Linked DNA regions of Astyanax mexicanus. The protein of the gene in region 1 purifies or fractionates together with the protein of each later gene. This does not show direct contact. Links are inferred from orthologs where the notes say so. Each region holds a gene or a part of one and is shown in the gene's direction. Other genes may lie near its edges.

Region 1 (6,928 bases):
ACAGCTCCAGTGAAAATAAAATTCTTTGGATTCTTAGGTGATGATAACTGCATCCGCTGCTGCTTCTTCTCTTCCCCCAGAAGAAAAGTAACGGTATCAGGAAAATATGCTGTCAGTCTCTGGGGCAGGACGAATCTCTGAGCACAGCAGCTGGGGCATGCAAACGGAACAAAACAATAACACAACATGTCCAGGCAAGGAATAATAACAACCGAAACACCAGCAGTTATGTGCAGTAATGTCTGAATGATCCTGTGTTTCTAATATTACTCTTTTCCTCTTGGACTACATGGCACTGCCACTGGTGATTCATCGCCAATAACTCTTATGATCTAAGACAGGTTCTAAATATGGTTCTAAGCTGGAGTTGGGAGAATGGTGTGTTTCTGAGCGCAAAAGTAGGCTAATCTGAGACTACATTACATCATAGGGATTTTCTTTTCAAAAGGGTTTTTAATCATATTAGTCTTATAAGAGGAATCACTGAACAGCACCCAGTTACAATAGGACTTGACTAATGACCTACAATAGGCTGCCTTGGCAAATGACGCCGTTTAGAAGTTTACGTAATATCATTATTTTACATTATTATATATGATTATATGGTAGTAACATAACACAGGAAGATGATACATCCTGAGCCTCAGCCAGGATGTATTATTGTTCACTCAACAAACAACACCAACAACAATTTAATACTGGCTTAACAATGATCCAAAAGCACAGAATAACTCTTGTGTTCATGGTCCATTACTTTAGCTGCTGATAAGTATTTAGCTATTGTCATTAGTTATTAGCATTTTATTCCAATAAAAGGCCAGATTACTCAGCTTCAATTCAGACATGACAAAAGTAATTTGATTCTTTTAAAAAAGTAATTCAGTTCTTTTGCAAATGTAAAATCAAAAATATTCAAATCTTTTTTTAAAGGTGATTTGAATCACTGTTTAAAAAACATTCTGGTCTTTCCATTGATGCAAATATTTTTATTTGATTATTTTTTTATATTTATTCCTTTTAATTTGATATTTAATATGGCATCTCAGGATAATAATCTCGAGATAATTAAATACATAAAAAATACAATAAAAAAATCTCGGCTGCATTACCTGCTCTAGCATTTAGATGTCATCAAAACACTATTCAGTATAATCAATTTTTTAAACTGGGTCCCCAAGGCAAAGTGGTCCCTAGAGAAGAGGGTCATTTAAAATGTGTTTTAAAGGAGCAATTTGTAGAAAATTATGGAGGACCAAATCTGCCAAAATAAATAAATAAATAAAATCGTATGTAAATCACTTAATAAAAGTAATGTGGTGATTAAAACTGTAAAGAATAATTGTAAATAATATAAAAATAAATACATATACCTAAAAATAAATATCTTAATAAATTGTTTTTTATTCATGTTTATGTTTATTTATTTACATAATTTCTGCATTCATTCATTTCCTGGATAATTTATTTCTGTATTCATATATTCGGTATACTCATAATCAGACACCACAAGTCTGCTTCTCCATTGTCACTGATTGCAGGTCACGTTAGCACCTGTAGCATAACATGTTCATATGAAATATCGATATAAAATCACCTGTAGTCAAGTGATATTTCATCTATATGTCCTGTGGGCGTGTTACAGTAGCATTTTTTACAGTAAAAAATAAATAAAAATGTGTCTCTAAAGACTACAAGTGATTTTAGATTGATCGCTGCAGCGATTCCTGCTATTTTCAGCAAATTTCCTCGGAGAAAGGGAAAAGTTGGGTGTTTTGAGAAAATCTAGTGTTTGTAGTTTGTTCTCTGTTCCTCTGTCATTTGAAAGATATCATTTGAGAGAGTTTAGGAGGTTGCATGCGAGCAAGAGAACGTCCGAAACGCGAATCTCCGCTTAATGTCGAACAATAAATTAACTTTACCAAGCTGTTAATTTAATGCCATATAACCAAGTGTTTACCTGCGTTAATCCTGTTATTTACAAATATTTTAAAACATTTTTTTTTACCAATATTCACAAAATATCATGTACTGAAAATTTCAAAGGTATATTAGGCAAGCTGTAAGCATAAGTCTTCCTAAAATCTGACTTTCTGTAATTTGCTTCCGCACAGTCACTGGTTGTTTACCAATAAAAGGAAAAAAAAAAAAAAACACATATACTTGGGGGTTAGATCTGAATATTGAAGCTCAGACTGGACTGAGATGTTCAAGTCTGAACACAACCTGCAGATTATCCTCAATTTATTTCACCAATTCTCACTCATTCTTATTATTTTCTAACCAATTCTCACTATTATCTTAATACTTTTTATTCATTTTTGTCATTTCTCTCTATGTCTTTTTCAGGGTATTTTTCAGAGGAGGAGCTGCTAGACTACCTGGACTGACTGGATGAGCACCACCCTGACATTGTTGTTTTCAGTACCCTGGCTTTGGTGTTCCTCTGTCCATCCTTACCATTCCAAGGACCGGATGGCTTTTATCAGTGCAAATAATGTGAGAAGACTCCAGGAGCAAATAGTAAATAGTACTCAGGCAGAGAGCATAAAACGTACACATCAAGTTAAAATCAATAAGTTAGTGAACACGGAGCTTACTTTTTCATGTAAATCAGCTTTATCAACTAATCAACTTTAAAATGCACACAAACTTTTTGTCATTTTAAAATTAGAATTAAATATTTTAGTTAATTAGCATTAAAAATCCATATTTAATTTTAGAATATCTTGATGTCCTGATTTCCTCTTGCCACCATTGTAAATAGGCCTCACTGATTACAGTAATCTTGGACACTAAGGCCTGTATAACACTCACTTTAGCAGCCTTAAAAAACAGAAAAGATCATTATTTGTGAATATAAAAAAAAAAAAAATATATATATATATATATATATATATATATATATATATATATATATATATATTATTTATATATATTTATATATATATATATTTGTAATGTTAAGTTATTATAGTTAGTGTCTCACTGCTGCATTTTGGTTAAAACTGATGAAAGTTAACATGGTCTGTAAACATTCAAGCTCATTGAGTACAATAATAAAATATATTTGTTACTGTGTTCTGGTAACCCAGGACACTATCAGCGTTTTTTCCCACGTAGCTTGTTTTTAACACCGCAAAAACGCACACTACAGTCGCCTGAATGGCGAAAGAGCAATAGGTGCAGTTAGTGGCTAATGCTGCTGCACCCAGCCTTAGTGATGGAGGAAGTTTACTGAAAACTCACCCTTATATTGCTGTCTATAGTGCTGAGTGGCTTTACTGTTTCTGACTGGTAGAATTCATAAATAAGGTGCATCATTTTTTGGGACAATTAAAGGATTTTAAGATTTGCCTTGTAGTCCGAAAAATACGTGTTTCACACTAGTAGCTGGTTAGTATTTTTGGTTACTGAAGTTAAAGGAGAACTCCGGTGTAAAATTGGTCATTATCAGTACAGTGACGGTGGCGCCCGGTGATTAGCTAACGCTACGAGTTGTAAACAGTGGTTTTTAATAAGCTTCTTGAACACTTTTAATGTTATTAATGCCTCATTTTGTATGTCAGGGCTCTCTGGGTACTACCAATGAGGTGTGGAGCTACTTTTAGACAGGATAACGGTGTAAAGAGCAATTAATCAGGGCAAAATATGCCCCGATACTGCCGTGCTGGGCATAAAGCACAAAATTACTGAAATATCAGAAAGCTGTAGGAGAATAGAGGTGTGCTATTCAACAAAGGTTAGTAAGTTAAGTTACTCTTTATCATGTTTTACTACACCATTTGCTTTAGTGGTCATTATGGAAGGTTCTTAAAACAATATTAAAACAACCTGTGTGTGTGTGTGTACTGTGTACTGTGTACTGTCTCTTTAAGGAGCTGTGTCCCGCCTCGTCCTGAAAGTTCCGCGGTGGTTATGATTCTGAGTGGCGGGTGAAATATGGGGAGCACTGTTTTGACAAGGAAGTAACTTAACTAATGTTAGTTTAACAGCCTATCTTCACCACGTTCAGCTTCATTTGGCAGATTAACGCGTCTTTGGGCTGATATATTTAACGCTATATTTACTGGAGGCGGAGAAAAACCCCTACAATCTCGGAGAGGTGAGTGTTTACCGGTTATTTACACAGCTAACCGGCTAAAGCTTAGCAGGAAAGTTTTCTATCTGAAAGCTGCTGGGAAGCTAACTCATCTAAACTAGCATGGGTTAACTGTGTTCAGCACAGGCCAGTGTGGGTGTGTGTTCTGCAGTTACCTAGCCAGTTAGCAGACTGGGCTGTTTAAAAACTTCTACACTCTCTGCTGTAACTAACTAACTTAAATGTGATTAATATTAACAGCCTACTGTCAGTGTATGACAGCTCTCCATCTAGCTAGCTGGTAAGCTTAGTTTGAAAACAAGGCAGTGATTAGTTGTCTATAATTAACAGTGTCACTGTAGGCCTGGGAAATGAGCAGAGGTGCTGTTTGAGTTAAAATAGAAATAAAGCTACCATTTTGACATCTGCTTGTCTTAAGGTAAATAATCTCTGGTATCATTCTTAGTTCAGCAGTCTTTTAACAGAATGTCATTCATTAGTCTGACAGTGCTGTCTAGTAAAATTATCATTAACACAAAACACTGAAGACAAAGAACCACGTTGTTGTATATAATTACCTGCAGACAAGCAGATGTTTTATTTACTTTACTTTACTTAATAAAAGCTGTTTTAAACACAGGTTCATAAATTAGTTTTTATTTACTGCTGTTCTATTTCATACTTTCTGCAGACATAGGGCATTCCCAAATTGTACCCTGTTGTATTGATGTTAAATTGTGTGATTGCACTGGATCCCTACTTCACTGTATGAAAGTGTTCACTGTATATTGATTGATGTGCTTGTGTAGTGCTACTTTTGTGTTGATATGATAAATGTTTATGCATACTGGGCCAGCAGTAACGACTTTTACTCCTTAAGGTTTTGCATTATGTGGAGTAAAAAGTACGATAAATCCTATTTTTTTTCACAATGTGAGTTTTCAGGATTAAATTAGAAGGGGTGCAGTAGCATTGTAAATAACAGAAAACCCAAACTTCATTACCTGCAGACACCAGCAGAGGGGGCTCTTCATCCTGCAGACTGTTATCACGTAACCTCACTAGTCTGAGGGAGAGTTCATCAGTGGGCGACATTGCTGTAAAGTACTATCACAATATTTTAGGCTATTTTTTTTAACAGTATTCTTGGCGCATTGATATATTTAAAGTATATATTACATCAACAAAATAAATATTAAAGTTTTATTTATAAATATTAGAGTATAAATATTAGAGTTAGGTGTGAAGAGACTCATCTCAGGAGACCAGACTGAAATGTTTACTATATAAATATTTGTTTTGGTTACATAAACCTCGCGAGACACATTCAACACCTGTCAAGGAATATCTCAAGGCAAGAGATATTGTCACACCCCTAATTAGTGTGTTTAATACTAGACTAACACAAATAAAGTAACAACAAAAACCTACCGCAAAACTAAAGTGCTGCATTTTTAGTGCGTGCATATAAACTGCAAACAAGCAATTAAAGTAAATACTGGAAATATTAAAACAATGCTAGACATAGTAACTCGCAAGAATATTGCGATATCACAATATACATTTTCTATCGTGTCAATATGTTTTGCTATATAATTGGGTACAATACAATATGACACACCCCTAGTATGCACATCAAACTACTTTATGGTCTGGGAATATGAGTGCTACAAAGTTCAGAAAGTTCAGTTTGTTTTTTAGAAAAACAAACCTAAATTATTAGGAAATTCATATAGGATCATATTTTTCAAATCAATATTAGAATTTCCATGAACATTAAGAAATTCAGATTGCAACATTACATTTTTGTCTGTTTCGTATACCCCTGGTAAAAAGTAAGATATTTGTCTTTTGATTTGATATTTGAGAGAATAAAAGGTAATTCAAAATTGACATACTTCAGTATTTAAGTATGGATACAAGCAAAAACAACTTAAGTTAAACTTCATTCTTTTATTAACTGCACTTACTGTGTTACTGTCCTTCACTGAAAATATAAAAATGTTTTTTAAATGTCCTTTAAAATGTGAACTGTTGAGCAACTGAGATTTGAGATTTATTCACAAGTCTTTCCTTTCTCCTTCACCAAAGGCAGCTTTAAAACTTATAAGGCCCACATTTGAAAAATACCCTTATCCTATGTAAGAGATTTGCTTTTAGTACAAGGTGTTGAATGGTACTTTCAGTATAGTGCACCATATGTGTAAAACCTATTTACGCTAAGAAGATTTTAATAGCTATGTTCACTGTGTGTGTATGTGTGTGGTCATGTACTGAGGCCATTGCAAATGTCTTGGAAAAAGAACTGAGAAAAAATAGTTTTCTAAAACGGGTGGGAGCTCTAATTGGTCCAGTAAGGAAACAAAAAAACATTTGAGAAGCCTCTTTCATTAGTTGCATGGCTACTAGTGTTTTCTTTTTTTTGTTTTTAACGCTTCTCAGTCTTTTCAATTTGCACCTCTCTACTGCAGAATGAGTGGCGTCTCACCCTCCATGCATGGGCTTGCCTGGGCATGGTCTTCTCAGCGTGGACCGGTTTGGTGATGTGATTGAGTGCCAGCTATGGAACTGGAGGCTGAGATGAGGTGTCACATTTATGTTGTGACACTTCTACTCTCTGCTCTCTCCTTTCTCATGCAAAGGATAAAGAACTGAAAGGAAAAAAAAGAAAGGAGAGAAAAGGATGGAGAGGGAAAGGATGGAGAGAGAGAAGACGTATGAAGAAGCCTTTACAGACCAGTATGCAGAGGATAAAGGGCGTGACGTGTCCACAGGAGAAGATCAGGGAAGAAGGGATTCTGAAAGGATTTTGGAAACAGTTGGAGTGATGACTGTGGAAACCAGGCCTGA
Region 2 (7,194 bases), about 11 Mb from region 1:
TTTTCTCTTTGACACATCTTTTTAAAATGTGCGAACCAAAAGTTTTTTTTATGGCATTGCACAAGAACCCTTTGTGAACACCTTTTTGTTTTATGAGTCTGAAAATTGGCTACTGATCCGGATCTTAAATTATAATTGATTATAACTTTGTTTTGTTTTTGGCTGCTTTTTCCTGTCAGTATGTATGGTTGTGTTTCTGGAGAGACAAGGAGATTTCCAGTACAACACTCCCTTGTTTCACCAGCTTTTTACTGATAAGTGGTGTTGATTTGCGTTGGACTCCACACATGGCAGCATGTAGAACTTGCCCTTTTATGTTGATCAGTTACCACTTCTCGAAACCATGACCTGAGGAACCATTGCTTGAAAACCCAAAAGCTTAGATTAGCAGTAATGGCAGCTTCTACCAGTCGTGCTGGGACTCCCAGAGCTTTGTTTTCTTTTCTCCTCAACATGGCTTCTTTGAAGTGGTCTAAGCGGAAGAACGTATTGGCATCACCTGATCAGTCTGCTCTTTGAGCCTCTCGGTCATATCGGTCTTGAAAAAACTAACATGATACTGTTGTATACAATGGTGCTGAATTACAAGTAAATGTTTTTCTTTTTTTCATGAAGTGACAAATAAAAGAAAAAAGCTTCAGTTTCATAGGCTCTTTTTTATCTTGAGCCCTATTAAATATGAGGTTTCTAAATTCCCTAGAAAGACAATAGGGCATTTATTTTCTCTAAACGTTCGTGAGCATGTGTGTGTGTTGGAGGGAGAGAGACCTTCAATGATGGTTTTGTTTTGAGATGGGCTAGAATAGTGGCCCACTCATCCTCCAGTGTAAATGGATCCATGTCCGTTGAACCCAGATCCCTGACTAAGCCCTGCCGGGAACTGCTTCTAATGTGGCTGGTGTATATCTAGAACGGCTTTAGTGCCTTGAAACCGGTATGTGCTGCTGCAGTAGTTGCTTTCCTTTTTTTCCTAATACAAAATAGTCTATGCCTGTGCTTAATCTGTTTTGTGCTATGTGCAAACACATCAGAGCTGCAGGGGTTTTTAAAATATGATGTAGAGTGTATGTAGAGTGTATCTACTGGTTTAGTACAAGAAAGTAAATACTATTGTCAGCACTCAGAAAATGGTGCTGATCTTGTTGTTAGAGGTAAAAGCTTTAGGGGTGCTTCAGTGTCGTGTGGTCTTGAGGAAATCCAAACCTCATTAAAGCAAATGGGGTGTAATTAGTCTCACAAGTGCTCCATTACACCGGATTGATGGCACTGAAAGTTAAAGAGACATACAGGTGTCGGGTTTAGGGAAAGCAGCCCAAATGAATTCAGTGCAAGTAACGTAGAGCAGTTCACCAAAACCTCATCTAATATCCCTATCACCCCTCCCTCTGGGTTTTCAGAGAATCCTTTATCCTTCATTATGTTTGGATGATTTTATGTCCTTTACCATGGAGCTTTGCTGATTTTATTTGACATTTTATATTTATAATTCTTAAAAAAAAAAAACTGCCTGTAAAGCTTTTCTCATAATTATAGTATTAGTATACCCCTTTTACACCTGCTTCCTTTGTGTGTCATGAGTAATATTGGGATTCTGCTTGGATCAAGCCAAGCACACACAAGATCTAAAACATAAACATATTTAATCACTTAAACCAATCACCCAGCACATGAAACACCAGTAATATTTTCCATGCTACAAGCAAATCAGCATATTCTGTCGCACACAGCAATTACATTTCAGTCGGACTTAACATAGACACTTGTAACTACCCAGTGTAAATGGTTAAAATATTATCAGCACACAATACAACTACTAATCCTAATCATAAGGTGTCCAGGTCTAAACGGAGTCATCGTCTCTGAATTGACAGGGAAATGACAGACTAAACCTAAAAGCAAAAACTATAAAGGAAAAAAGTTTAGAGTTTTATTACATCAGAGTTACAAAGCAGCTTTACAGAAATCTGGGTCCAGAGTTAAAAGTGATACTGCACAGAGGGGATGTAACTGCACTGCAAAGAGAAAAAAGATAATCAGATGTGATATGAAAATTCACTTAAGTCTAAGAGAACCACTCAGTTTAATCTTAACAGACACATTTAATTTAGCAAATTTTGCCTCAAATAGGAACTAAATGAAAAACAGGATACGACGCAAATGGACAGATGATCCAGATGCCCTTATATAATAAACCCAAAATGCAAAACAGGCTAGACTAAAGATTTAAACTTTTAGTTCTTTGTAATGTGATTTATCATGTCAAAAACAACACTAGATGTTTACACAGACATACGAAAAAAAACATTTGTTTAAGATATGCCTATTAATTTAGTATTATTCATGTCAACAATGTCTGTCTAGTACAGAACAAAAATTAACTGAAGGACATTTTAGTTTAAAAAATGAGATCGTCATAAAGCAGAAAAGAAAGAAAAAAAGAAGAAATTGCAGATGCATATTAACAGTTTCTAGGGTAACAGTGAGAAAAATATATAAATACTTGGTAAGAGTGCCTTTGGGAAAACTTCAATTAACCAAAGTACACAAAAACAAAAAAAGTGAGGTTAGAGGAATTCTTCTGTAAACTGAAGGCAGAGACAGATAATCAAACATTTTTGAATATAATCCAGAATAACCTTTCCAATGGTTCAGAAAAAAAATATTAAAGACTATTTAACCATTTATAAGCAGGGATGGCATGACAGATAGAATGGAACAGAAATGTGCAGTGCAGGTAATTTAATCACTGATGGATAGATATGCACTAAAAATAGGGAGATTTAATTGTGTGAACAGAACACACGTCTTCAGGATTAGCCAAATAAAATTTACATGCTGTCTCTGACAGCTGCTGACATACCAACGCTCATTTCATGCAAATTCACTTCATATCCTGGAACAACTGTGTCAGCAACAGCAATAGTAATGCTAAAAATGAACAAAGAATATGCACACATACATCTACAAGCAGCAATTATTGGGGGTAAATCTTAATTGTATTGCCAAATGTTACCCAAACTCTTGCCTGTAGAACATAATTAGGCTTTTCAGTCATTTAAGGTATTACCTTCATGTGTATCTTAAGGCAGCAGAAACCCTTGTTTGTCAAACTTTAATACAGTTGTATAAAAAAAACTCTTGTTCAAATAATGTCATTTATAAATGTAAAGTCATATATTTATATTCTAAATACTGATACAGATGTTTTCATATACAAAATTACCACTTTAAAATAAGGCTTCTTTATTGAGGGGTTTCTAATGTTATTAATTAGGTTAGTAAACAGCTAGATCCTTATTTTACTTTGTCTTTTCCATCAGTCAGCATTAACATTTATGTTAATAATTTTATTCATTTAACTATGATAACATATTAAATTACTTAACTTACATTTTATTTTTTATTAGATATGTTAAACTGTTTTTCTTATTATTTGTGTTGTAAGTGCTTATTAATGTTTTAAAGTATTTACCACTTTATTTATAGCCATTAATAAACCCCTTCATAATATATTTATGAACCCTTTATAAAGGAGCCTTATTTTAAAGTGGTACCAAAAATGTTTTACTTTATCAGTCACATTACCCTTGGTTCTGGACAAAATCCTTGTGAACTGTAAACAGAAACATTTTAGAAAACAGCATTCATTAGGTTAACGGTGGCTTATTTTACTACTACTCTTTTTTTTTAATCAAAATGTACTTTTTATTTTGACTCAATTTTAATAGCGTTCCAATTAAAATTTCCACGATTCTGGTAAGTGAATTAATTTTTACTATGAAATAAACTTAACTTTTCATTAATAAAGGTTATGCTATAAATACTGCATAGTTGTTTAGTCTTATCATTACATTTTATTACGTTTTAAATATGAGTTTTAGTTAGCAAAATAGCCACAAAGCTAGCTAGAAATTCCCTACAATTTGTGGCACAATTTTCATTAAGGTTTCTGGTTGGTTCTACTATTTGACTGTATGATAAACTCTCCTCATAAACCACTGCTATTTTTTAAATAGTCATATAATTTTCGTGTTTCCTGAAAAACGTTTAGACGCTTATTTTTATAGGAAGGTGTTGATATTAGATTCTGACTAAAATCGTATTTCTTGGTAATGACACCTTTCTCTTATTTTTCAGGCCGCATGTCCACCAGAACCTCTTCAACATTTGTTTAATTTTCGCTTTAACAAACACGTCTAGATAAATAACAGAAGACACAGTAATGGCTGAGTGTGAGGAGCAGTTATTATGATATAAAAAAAAGTTAAACAAATGTTAAAAAAATTAAGTTAAAAAAATTAAAAACAGTGTAGACAGATGTGTGAACTAAACTTCAGTTCCCGGGTTTCGTTTCTAGTCGGTGCCAAATGATGCAACAAGAGGAAACGGTGGAGTACGGAGCCCCGATAATAACAATAACAGACCTATAAAACACAGAGTACAGGTTTAAATGTGGGGTTATGAGTCCGGCAGGTCGGGTTTTGGGTGAGTATTTCTGTTGGACCTGTGGCGAAGGGTGGCCGTGTTTGTGCCCCGCTGCTGAGCTCCAGCCTGCGTTAGCCGGATTAGCAGAGGTGCTAACAGCAGCCCTGAACTCCACCAGCCCGAAACTAACGATATCAGTGCAGCCATGGACCCGAAACACAGAGAGATACTCCGCGCGAACACACTGCCGCTCTGCGAGCAGCTGATCGTGGACGACACGGTCATTCAGTTCCTGTACCAGGAGGACATTTTAACAGAGAGCCAGGTGGAGGAGATCCAGTCACAGCCCTCCAACAAGCTGAAGACCCTCAGGCTGCTCAGTGTCCTGCCCAGCCGGGGTCCCCGCGCCTTCAGCGGCTTCCTCACAGCCCTGCAGCGCGACTTCCCCTGGATCAGAGACGAGCTGCTGCTGCAGCAATCAGGAGGAGGAGAACAGGACAGCGCGACCCTGTCCCCCTCCACAGGTCTGTCTCTCTCTATCTCTCTTTCTCTCTCTCTCTGTGTTTCTGAGGTGTAGTGGCTGCTGTACACACAGGCACAGGGCGAGGTGTACGTTAACTCGCTAACCGGAGAGTGTGGAGGTAACTAGTTTTATTCAACAGCTCTGGAAAACATGGAGGAGATGAACTGAACTCGCTGACCCAGAAGTTCAGGTTGCTCGTTTTCCCCTTCCAATGAAAAAACAACACTAGTCTGGAGTTACAGTCAGTGAGTGATAAGGTGGTGGGCTCAGGTTTCCCACAGCTCTAGACTCTATAGACAGTTCTTTCCTTCTTCTGAAGTGTCCTCACACCTTAGGAGTGACAGTGCTAATATAACTTTGTAGCTAGCTATCTAAAATAACTAATAGTGCCATGCAGTAGTAAATTTAGTTAATAAAGGCTATAGTTTAGCCTTACTATTGAGGTTTATTAAAAAACAAAATTCTGTATTTCAGTCAGCAAAATCAGCTGTAAGGTCTGTAAAGCTGGCTAGCTTGCAGTTCACTACAATTTGTTGCAAACTGTTAAAATAGAATTGTTTCAGGAGTTAAGATTGGCCCAGGGAGTTGTAACAGAGGTTTTTAAAAGGGTGTCCAAACCTCAGATGATTTCATTTTTGTTGTTGTACTGCAAAAGTCAGTTACGTAGTAATGCCATAGGTGAATGAGCTGCCCTGTTCTTTTACAACGATTTCTATCACAAACACAACAGTGCTGGGAGGTATACCGTTTTATTCGGTATACCGGAGGGGAAAATTAAAACCAGTATGCATTTTCACCTACTTGTAGAGGAGCTGCGGAGTGCTGTGTGGAACAGCACTGCTAAAGAAGCACATACAGCATAACAAACTAACACATGGGAATAACTGTAGCTCAGTTCTGTGGAGTCAAATGCTCTGTCCTACACGGGAAAAAAAATGAGAACAGCTCTTTATCTAAAGAGCTCCTGTTGCAATGTGAGTGTTTTTATGTGAGTTAAATAGAAAAGCAACAGTAAACAGCAATTATTCACTCAGAAAGAGAAGAATGGAATTACACAAACCATTCACAGCTTATTTATTTTGTTTATTTAGCACAAGTGATAAAACTCCTTAAACACTGGATACGAGGTGCAAAAACATTTCAAGAGCAGTAACTATAGCCCTGTTTAAATACATTAATACTGTAGCTTGAAGGATAATATTAATGCACATTAAATTGAATGCATTTGTTAACTGGAGAAAGAAGGAAATAATCTGTGGCTTATTTTAATACTGTAATGCCTCTAATGGCTTCAATAATAACAAATTGTAAATTGATATTAAACCTCTGTCTAACTTGTTCTATAGAACATTTGAAAAATGTCTCTTTAAATACTTCAATCAAAGCCTTTATTTAAAGCCTTAGTGTTTTATATTATATGTACTCCTAACAGCACAGCAAGTCACACACCAATATTAAAGCCCAGTCATGCAAAATAAAAAAATTATTAACAAATTTGTGAAATACCGTGAAACCGCCATAATCTAGTTGGAAAGGAGGCTCTTCTACCCCGATAGGTTGCCTCTAGCATGGATACAAGATGAGATACACTTGGGCATAGAGGCAAACAGGGTCTGTATGGCATCCTGCGGCACAGTTGCTCAGCTGGGCCTGTAGATCCTGTACACTTTATAGGTTGCCAAAGCTGACTGCCCAGCTGGTCCTGTAAATGCTTGATTGATAAATTAGGCAGTGTGTTGGAGTGAAGTGGTTCAATCCTTGCTGTGTGTGAGTGAGCACTGTCCTGCTGAAAAATGACATGCTATTCTGCCATTCTGCCATGAAAGACAATGTGTGGTTGCAGGAGGATGTACTGACATATCACTAACATGTTATTGTAACTCGTATCACCTCTTGAAGTGACAAACTTGTAGTATGTGCTGGCTTCTGATAATCACACCAGCAGTTGGGGCAGTGTTTCGCTCTACAGCAAAAGCAGGATTGAAGCTCTCATTGCAAGGCAGGTTTCTTGATCACAACACTCCTGTTATAACGACTGGCCTAAGGACATCCTAAAGTTTGTCGGCTGGGCAAAATGTCCTTGATTGTGTTATAGAACCATGTCTGTTAGTCTCTCACCAAGAGGTACACTACTCAAAAGTAGACTCTTTTCACAGAGAGCAGGAAAATTATTTTAACACCTTTGCCAAGAACTTGTGTCTGTTCAGATCACACCTTCAGTCCTTTACACTTCTGCCTGAGACATG

What was found.
Region 2: the proteins of pidd1 (region 1) and cradd purify together in Homo sapiens (affinity purification with western blotting; 8 studies listed by BioGRID and IntAct, with this or other methods). This does not show direct contact. The link is inferred for Astyanax mexicanus from reciprocal best matches to the Homo sapiens genes PIDD1 and CRADD.

The regions. Positions count from the first base shown.
Region 1 is NC_064409.1:47,560,627-47,567,554, reverse strand, and holds the start of pidd1 (p53-induced death domain-containing protein 1), read left to right. Parts: upstream 1-3,909; 5' UTR 3,910-4,102; intron 4,103-6,549; 5' UTR 6,550-6,761; coding exon 6,762-6,928. UniProt on the Homo sapiens protein: Component of the DNA damage/stress response pathway that functions downstream of p53/TP53 and can either promote cell survival or apoptosis.
Region 2 is NC_064409.1:36,379,687-36,386,880, forward strand, and holds the start of cradd (death domain-containing protein CRADD), read left to right. Parts: upstream 1-4,188; 5' UTR 4,189-4,630; coding exon 4,631-4,949; intron 4,950-7,194. UniProt on the Homo sapiens protein: Adapter protein that associates with PIDD1 and the caspase CASP2 to form the PIDDosome, a complex that activates CASP2 and triggers apoptosis.